Macaca fascicularis: one gene and its partner. The protein of the gene in region 2 purifies or fractionates together with the protein of the main gene of each other region. This does not show direct contact. Links are inferred from orthologs where the notes say so. Each region holds a gene or a part of one and is shown on either strand. Other genes may lie near its edges.

Region 1 (4,570 bases), on a different chromosome or scaffold from region 2:
AGTATTAGCAGTATCTATGACTCTGTAACAACAGAAATCTCAAATATCTTTATATCATACTACAGTTGTTGCGTATAATCTTGAAGTAGGCTTTATGCGCATCATGTCTTTGAAATTGTAATTATCAGATCCATCACTAAATCTGATTTCTTAATGTGCTGATAAACAAGTATATGAGGCCGGGCGCGGTGGCTCAAGCCTGTAATCCCAGCACTTTGGGAGGCCGAGACGAGCGGATCACGAGGTCAGGAGATCGAGACCATCCTGGCTAACACGGTGAAACACCGTCTCTACTAAAAAGTACAAAAAACTAGCCGGGCGAGGTGGCGGGCGCCTGTAGTCCCAGCTACTCCGGAGGCTGAGCCAGGAGAATGGCGTAAACCCGGGAGGCGGAGCTTGCAGTGAGCAGAGATCCGGCCACCGCACTCCAGCCTGGGTGACAGAGCGAGACTCCGTCTCAAAAAAAAAAAAAAAAAAACAAGTATATGAATATTAGATTTGTATATGTTGGAAACTATATTTCCATATAATTGGTGTTCCTTATAATTCAATGTACTTTATTTTATACAACTAAAAAATATTATTCTGAAAGGGGTCCATGGCACAGATAAGGTCAGGTCTTCCTTCATTAGAAAAACCCAGGTGGCTCACGCCTGTAATCCCAGCATTTTGGGAGGCCGAGGTGGGCAGATCACTTGAGCTAAGGAGCTCAAGACCAGCCTGAGCAACATGTTGAAATCCCATCTCCACAAATTAAAAAAAAAAAAGAAAAGAAAAACCCAGAACAAATGAATTGTGTTGCAGTATATACATATGGTATTGACAATCTTATTTTATATTTGCCCTCATAACCTTTCTGTTCATTAATTCTCTTTGATTATATGGGGCCCTGGACCTATTTTCCATGACTAGTTTGCATATTTCCTTCAGAACTCTCCCATAGCCCACGCGAACTTTGAATTTTTCTCTAACATGATCCAACTTCAATTAACAAAATAGACACTCTGGGTCTTTACAATTTTTCACTTTTCTTTTTTAGGATTTTGTGTCCCTTTGTGGTAAACACCTAGAAGAGAAGAAGTATTTCTTTTTTCTTTTTTTTTTTTTAGACAGTGTCTTACTCTGTAATCCAGGCTGGAATATCATGGAACGATCACAGCACGGCTCATTGCAGCCTTGGCCTCCCAGGCTCAAGCGATCCTTCCACCTCAGCCTCCTGAGTGGCTGGGACTAAAAGTACAAGCCACATCAGGTGGCTAATTTTTTTTATTTTTTTGTAGAGATGGGGTCTCCCAGCTCCTGGGCTCAAGCAATCCTCCCGCCTTGGCCTCCCAAAGTGCTGGGATTACAGGCATGAGCCACTATGGCTGGCCGGAGCATCTCTTAAAACTCTACAAAGTTAGAAGGTCTCAAAGACAACAACTTTGCACAATTAGAGATGAGCCAGGAAATACCAAAAAACTGGCTGCCTACCCTCTTTTGTATTCCCTTCAGCCTTTGTATTGCCAAAGTCATTAAAGGAACAAAACAAATTTAATAGTTATCTGGTATATACTGTTACGCTTCACTTCTTATTGTTTTTGTTTGTTTGCTTTTAGTTTCATCACAAGAATGTTATGGTTCATTTCTTAACACCTTTCTCCCAGCTAGCAAACTCCTTTAAGGCAATGTGTTTAGTGAGCAGGCAGCTGACCATTTCCAGTAGACCCTCTGCTACTAACTTGTAAGATCTTGAAAAGTCAACTTTACCTTTCTGTTTCAGCTAAAATCACTACCTGATTTGAAATCTTTACTTGATCTCTCAGGCCTTTGTAGTTTTTATACATTCACTCTTCTTCACCATTTTACTGGCTTCAATAACGCCTTTCGGATGACCTCTCCAGGTGACCCTGCTCTTAAGCTGTGGGCTGTCCCCTTCCAGGGAAGACACCTTGGGTCACCGCCCCCAAACAGCCGGGTCCCTCCTTTTAAAGACACACACAATTCCCTAAGTTGATAAAGGTTCTTTCCTTTCTTGCCAACCAGTTCCACTCTCTGTGCCTCTTTTGCCGGTCAGCTCCTGCACCCAAACCTCAGTCCCCTTTTGTCCCCCTTTTCTCTCATCAAACACCTCCTTTTTCCTGTTGCTTCCCCCAATAGGGGGTGGAGGATGCTTGGAACGTAAGTCTTCAGAGCCTTGGGAGTTATACAGCTTTGCAAATCAGCCCCAGTACCCCAAGGACTGCCCCAATCTGATACCAGCGTCTGTACCCAAAGGGCCCTCATTCCTCATCCATCACCTCCTTCCCTCCCCGCAAAGAACTGCTCCAGCCCTGACAGCCTAAGCTTGGCCCCCATGCCTCCACCCCAATCACCAGGTTCTACCTGCACTAGTGCCCTAAGCCCGCCTAAGGCCTAACCCAGTTCCACGTCCTGCCATCCTCTCAGCCCATGGACCCCAATCCTGGTTCCTTTCGGATCCAGTGTTCCTTCTCCACGACCCTGACCACGACCCCACTACTGGCTCCCGCCTGTTCCCCGGGCCTGGAGCGCCACCCCGTGCAGACCCCGGCCAGCCCTGCACTCCCTCAGTGCGCCGGCCCCAGCGCCCAGCACCCTCCCCACCCCGCCGGGCCGCCGCTCCCTCCAGCGCCCCCGCCCGCAGGCCTGGGGCCCGCTCCCCAACATGGCGACGGGGACATAAGCGCGGCGGGCGGGGCGGCTCCGGGCCGGGCCCGCACTCAGACCGTGCCACTCGGTCGCCCGGCGCCATTTTCCCGCGCCGGGCCCGGGCGGCGCCTCCTCCCCGCGAAGCCAGCCCGACAAGGACCGCGGACACCCGGCGGGCCCACCCCTTACGGGCCCGCGCCGCCGTCGTCTCACCTGAGCGCGGCCCCAGCCCTCCCGGGCGGGCCTTGGAGCGCCAGCCCCGGCCGTGCGTGCCCGCCGCCCTCCGTGCGTCCGTCCGTCAGTCCTCGCGTGCGCCCGTCTGTCCGGCCACCCGCGCCCGGCCGCCCGCAGCCCGACCCGGCAGGGCCTCACCGAGCCGGCGGGGAGGGGGATGGGCCGGACCGGGCCGGGGAGGGAGGGGGAGGGAGGGAAAGAGGGAGGGAGCGCCAGAGGGGGCGGGGCGGACTCGAGGGGCGGGGCATTGCCCACGTGACCAGACGTCCCCGGGAGCGCGAGGTGGAGTGCGCGCCAGCTCGCTTGGGTGCTGTGAGCTTAATGCTGGGATCTCGTGGGTTTCTGTCGGCTTCCCAGTGCTATTCTCTCGCCAGTGAGTCCCGCTGGGGAAACACACACCGAACAGCCTTTTGCGAGCGCACTGAGTATCCTTGGAAATGGCAACTCCAAACCTCAGTTTACCCATCTGAAATATGGGGAAAATCATAGTTCTTGTGAGGAGGAAATGGAGGTAGGCATGGAAGGCACTTGTCACCGTGCCTGACACATAGTGTCTAATAATAAGCTTAATGGGATATAGATAAAAGCTTTCACTATTATTTGCCTCTAAATCCCTCTCTTCTTTTTCCCATCATTACCTCCCTAGCAAGCTAAAATGCTCAGGAAATAGAATTATTGATCGAACGAGTGTGGCCCCTCCCCACTTCCCAAATGTAGAAAGGCCTCCTCAGCACTGGCCTTGACGTCTGTCATACAGGCCTGGATTCATATCTGGCTTTCACTCTTTTTTTTAAATTTTTTGGGCCGGGCGCGGTGGCTCAAGCCTGTAATCCCAGCACTTTGGGAGGCCGAGACGGGCGGATCACGAGGTCAGGAGATCGGGACCATCCTGGCTAACACGGTGAAACCCCGTCTCTACTAAAAAATACAAAAAACTAGCCGGGCGTGGTGGCGGGCGCCTGTAGTCCCAGCTACTCGGGAGGCTGTGGCAGGAGAATGGCGTAAACCCGGGAGGCGGAGCTTGCAGTGAGCTGAGATCCAGCCACTGCACTCCAGCCTGGGCGACAGAGCGAGACCACGTCTCAAAAAAAAAAAAAAATTTTTGTTTTTGTTTTCTTTTTTCCCACACTACACTGATGTATTTTTTAAATTTTTGTAAGTACGTAGTAGGTGAATATATTTATGGGGTACATGAGATTTTGATACAGGCATACATCATGTAATAATCACATCATGGTAAATGGGGTATCTAGCACCTCAAGCATTTATCCTTTGTGTTACAAACAACCCAATTACACTCTAGTTATTTTAAAATGTACAGCTAAATTGTGTGTGTGTGGTTTTTGTGTTTTTTTTTTTTTTTGAGACAGTCTCACTATGTCGCCCAGGCTGAAGTGCAGTGGCGCGATCTCGGCTCACTGTAACCTCCGCCTCCCTGTTTCAAGGGATTCTCCTGCCTCAGGCTCCTGAGTAGCTGGAACTACAGGCGCCTGCCGCCACACCCAGCTAATTTTTGTATATTTTTTAAGTAGAGATGGGGTTTCGCCATATTGGCCAGGCTGGTCTCGAACTCCTGACCTCATGATCTGCCTGCCTCAGCCCCTCAAAGTGCTGGGATTATAGGCGTGAGCCACCGCACCCGGCCAATTGTTTTGTACTATAGTCACCTTCTTGTGCTAGCAAATAC
Region 2 (4,430 bases):
AACTTTTGCTCCAACCTCGAAAAAAAAAAATAAAGTGACCCACAAGCTAGAAAACCTTTTCAGAATACTTTACTGACCACTAATAGATATGAACTAGAGAAGAGGCTCAATATTTAGTAAGTGAAAAAACAACGGTCGCTGGCCATGGGCCACTTTAACCTTTCTTCCTTCCCTTGACCTCTAAGCATTTTCAGCTTCACTCATTCATTCGACTGGTCTTCAGAAAAGGCACCCCTCCTTTTCCTATCCTCCAGTCTGTTTCTGATCCTACTGCCTTCTTCATGAGTCTCCCTGTCCATAGCTATGTTCCCACCACCCGTAAACAGTGAAATTGCCCACATCCTTCCACGCACTTGTGATGCAACACAGATCCCTCCCCAGCCCTCTGTTCCCCAGGCACCTTCTCTATTTCCTTCTCAGGACAAATTTCCTGAAGAGTCTAACCTTTCTGTTCTCAGTTTCCATTCACTCTTCAACTCCCTGCAATCCAGCCCCTTCCACCAACACTCTACCAAAAACACTTTACTTGATTTTCACGAACTTTGAGGATGCCAAAACCAATAGCTTCTCCTCAATCTCCACACTAATGAATATCTTAATAGATTTATCTCAAGTCACTCTGTTCCAGATATAGTGATCATCCTGATGTATCCCAAACACACGAATGCCTCATTCCTCAGCACATAGCTCCACATGAAAATATTCCTTCGTGTTCTTAACTTCTGCTTATCTCAAAACCCAACTGAAATGACATTTCAGTGGCGTCTACTCTGCACCCCAGTGGGGAAATCTGCTACACCTTGTACTGTGATGTGTGCTCCCTTCCCCACCAATGAAGGGCGCTCAAGGGCAGGTACCATGTCCTCTTCACCTCTGTGTTATACCTGGCACCTAATCCATGCCTGCCTCATACTAGATGGTCAACATGTGAACTTATAATTCACAATCACAAGAGTCAGAGAATCAGATGTCCAGGCTCAAAACTTCAGAAAATATACTGTTTCAGATGAAAGCGGTTTGCCAAGGACATTTTTAAGCACTTAGATTTCATTCATAGTCGAGTAAATATGGTTCCAGTTCAACTTGTTCCAGGTTTTCAGTAAGTTTGGTTCAACTCCCCTGTAAGAGCCAAAGTCCTAAAATGAAACATGAAGGCAAGGAGGGAGGCGGAAGAGAAAAATGGTGGATAGAAAAAAAAAAGGAGGGGGTCGCGGAATCACCATCAATACTCGAAAAAGCTCATACTGTTACAGGCACTCATTTTGATCACTCCGTGTTCAGCAAGCATTTTACTCTTTAAATTCAAAGATACAAGTCTTTTTTTTTTTTTCTTTTTTGGGACGGAAAAGTTGTTGTTGCCCAGGCTGGAGTGCAATGGCGCAATCTCAGCTCACTGCAACCTCCACCTCCCGGGTTCCAGCAATTCTCCTGCCTCAGCCTCCTGAGTAGCTGAGACTACGGACGCCCGCCACCACGCCCGGCTAATTTTTGTATTTTTAGTAGAGACGAGGTTTCACCATGTTGGCCAGGCTGGCCTCGAACTCCTGGCCTCAGGTGATCCACCCGCCTCGGCCTCCCAAAGTGCTGGGATTACAGGCGTAAGCCACCACCCCGGCCTTGAAGTCTCTTTACCCTAAAGTTACAGAGCAAAAAGGATCCAAAAAAGTTGTTACTAAGATACAAGGACGAACCTCAAGAAGGCCAAGATCAATCAGCCTTCTACAATTCCTTCTACACCATCCAAGTTTATCTGCTAAATATGAGTTCCCGCCCTTCCAGGCCTAATCTGATCACTGGGCATCCCCATCCTCCAAGGTGGGAGCCACTGATGTCACATCCAAGGCAACATAATCGTACAATTAAACTTTTGGGAAGGAAATATTTTGAAGATTAACCTGAAGAGGATATTCAACTAAGATGCATTCCCACCACGGACTGATAACTGTGTGACATCAAACAGATGTATTATTATAGGAATAATAAGGAAAACCCACAATGTCCTTTGGCGTGAGCCCAAACTACACAAAATTAAATGTGTAATGGGATGGTGTTACCAGGGTACCGTAAAATTAATCGTCCAACTGGGAAAATCAAGGAAGACGAATGCCAGCCCCCACGTGCAGGAACACAGGTTGGAAAGGAGCGCTCCTCAGCCCCGCACAGGACGGCAGCTGCCCGGGTGGCGGAGGCGGCCACGCCGGGGCACGGCCACGGTCCCCGCCGGCCGAGAGAGCCTGGGGCCCCCGCGCGAGCTGCCCCGGCTGGGGATCCCGGCGACCCTCGTCCGCCCTCAGAGCTGCTCTCCCGGGAGCCGAGACGCCTGGCGCGGGGAAGGGGGAGACGCGACCCGGCGCCAGTCCCGCTCAGCAAAGGAGCAGAGAGCGAGGGGGCCCGTTGGGTGGGGGGCGGCGACCCCAGGGCCGCAGGCCGGGGGCTCAGGGCACGCACTAGGGACCGAGGCACAGAGCTCCCGCCGCCCCGGCCGCCCTCCCTCCCGCACTCCCCCGTGCCCCGGCCTCCCGCGCCCACCCCGCGGTCGCCCCTGCCCTCCGCGCAGTCAGGCCGGCGGCCTCGGCGGACCCGACGCTCTGCGCCCGGCGCGCGCCCGCGACAGGAGCGGGGACGGGGACGGGAACGGGGACGGACGGGGACGGGGACGCGGACGCGGGAGGAGGCCGCGGCAGGAGCGGGCGCGGTACCTGCGGGTCGATGTCGCCCACCGCGTAATACTTGACCTCCCTGAACATCTCCTCAGGAACTTTGAGCGCCTGGTCCGACATGATCGCGGCGGCCCGGGAGGCTCCGCGGCAGCGCCCGGCCCCGCCCACCCCCCGCCCCCGGCCCCGCGGCGCCCGGCGCCCCCGCTCGCCCCGCCAACGGCACTGCCCGCGCGGCCCGGGCCGGGTCCTGCGAATCGGGGTCCGCTCCCCCGCCCTCCGCGCCCCCGCCCGCGCCCGCGCCGAGCGCCCGAAGCGCGGGAGCCGCGCGCGCCCTGCGGGACGCACCATCCCGCCCCGGCCACCGAGGGGGAGCGCCGAGGAGCCGCCCGGCCTCCAGCAACGCCCCGCGCCTCTGCCGCCATCCACGGCTCCGGGAGAGCTGGAGCCCGCTGGCCCGCTCTGGATCTTGCGGTTCCATCTCCGCCGCTCTGCAACGAGGGATCCCGGGGGACGAGGTGAAACCCGAGCCCCCCTCGGCGGGGCCGGAGTGAGCCGGTCCCGGGAAGGAGGGGAGCGGGCAGGCCCCTCCCGTCACCACACGCGGCTGCTGGGGGGCTGCGCATGCGCCCGGCGGAGGGGCGGGGCTTCGGGGCCGCTAGTGAGAGCTGGAGCCGGGCAGCGGCCTCCTCGGGCTTCTTGGTCCCGGGCAGAGTGGAGCTGGGTGTCCCGGCTGTTCTCAGTGGCCGCGGCCGGACCTGGAGTAGTGGCTGAGCCGCTCTGGCCGAGCAAGGTGCGGGTCCCCGGTCTACACCTTGCTGGACCCGGCTCCGCCGTGACGGAATTCCAGAGACCGCAGCATCACGCAAGACGCGCACTGGAGGCCGCCGTGGCGAGTCCTGGGGTCTCCGCCAGGCCTCGACGCCCGAGCTGGGGACGTGCTGGAGGGGCGCCCGGCCCCGCCGCTGCCCGAGACCCCGCTGTCCCGGCCGGGCCCGGCCTGGTGCCTGGGGTCGTGTCCGGTCCGCGCTGGAGGAGAGTCCCAGACGGCAGAGCCCGCGGTGCAGCTCCAGCCCCGGAAAGCCCCGCGCTCAACAGGTTAATACTACACAGCGGCGATTCTAATGCTCATGCTTTTATTTACAGCTCGCCTCCCTTCTGCCAAGATTCACAAAACACGGCAGAGTGGCCTCGGCATCACCTGCCCGAGACACCTGCACGACCGGAAGTTGGGAGAAGAAATAAGGCCACGATGACGAACGCAGCCTTTCACTTTCATTTCCAATCTCACAACAAACCGGAGACCAGGAACTCTTGGGTGATTATCGGAATATTACTTAGTCCTAAAACTGTGGAGCATTGGTTTCTAAAGGAATCTGAGACAGGCCCGCAGTGTCTTCTCCACATGCCTTAAGTCTCTTCTGCAAAGCAGAAAACCATTTTTTAGTAAATGTTAGTGAAATTGGTTTTAAAAAAGAGAAAAGTCCGGGCGCGGTGGCTCACGCCTGTAATCCTAGCACTTTAGGAGGCCGAGGTGGGCGGATTGCCTGAGTTCAGGGGTTCGAGGCCAGCCTGGGCGACACGGTGAAACCCCGTCTCTACTAAAATACAAAAAATTAGCCGGGCGTGGCGGCGCGCGCCTGTAATCCCAGCTGCTCGGGAGGCTGAGGCAGGAGAATGGCGTGAACCCGGGAGGGTGAGGTTGCAGTGAGCCGAGATCGCGCCACTGCCCTCCAGCCTGGGCGACAGAGCGAGACTCCGTCTTTTCAAAAA

The links.
Region 1: the proteins of PAXIP1 (region 2) and NCOA6 purify together in Homo sapiens (co-immunoprecipitation; 6 studies listed by BioGRID and IntAct, with this or other methods). This does not show direct contact. The link is inferred for Macaca fascicularis from reciprocal best matches to the Homo sapiens genes PAXIP1 and NCOA6.

What each region holds. Positions count from the first base shown.
Region 1 is NC_088384.1:90,870,816-90,875,385, forward strand, and holds the start of NCOA6 (nuclear receptor coactivator 6), read right to left. Parts: upstream 3,048-4,570; 5' UTR 2,863-3,047; intron 1-2,862. UniProt on the Homo sapiens protein: Nuclear receptor coactivator that directly binds nuclear receptors and stimulates the transcriptional activities in a hormone-dependent fashion. Coactivates expression in an agonist- and AF2-dependent manner.
Region 2 is NC_088377.1:196,303,114-196,307,543, forward strand, and holds the start of PAXIP1 (PAX-interacting protein 1), read right to left. Parts: upstream 2,975-4,430; 5' UTR 2,781-2,974; coding exon 2,700-2,780; intron 1-2,699.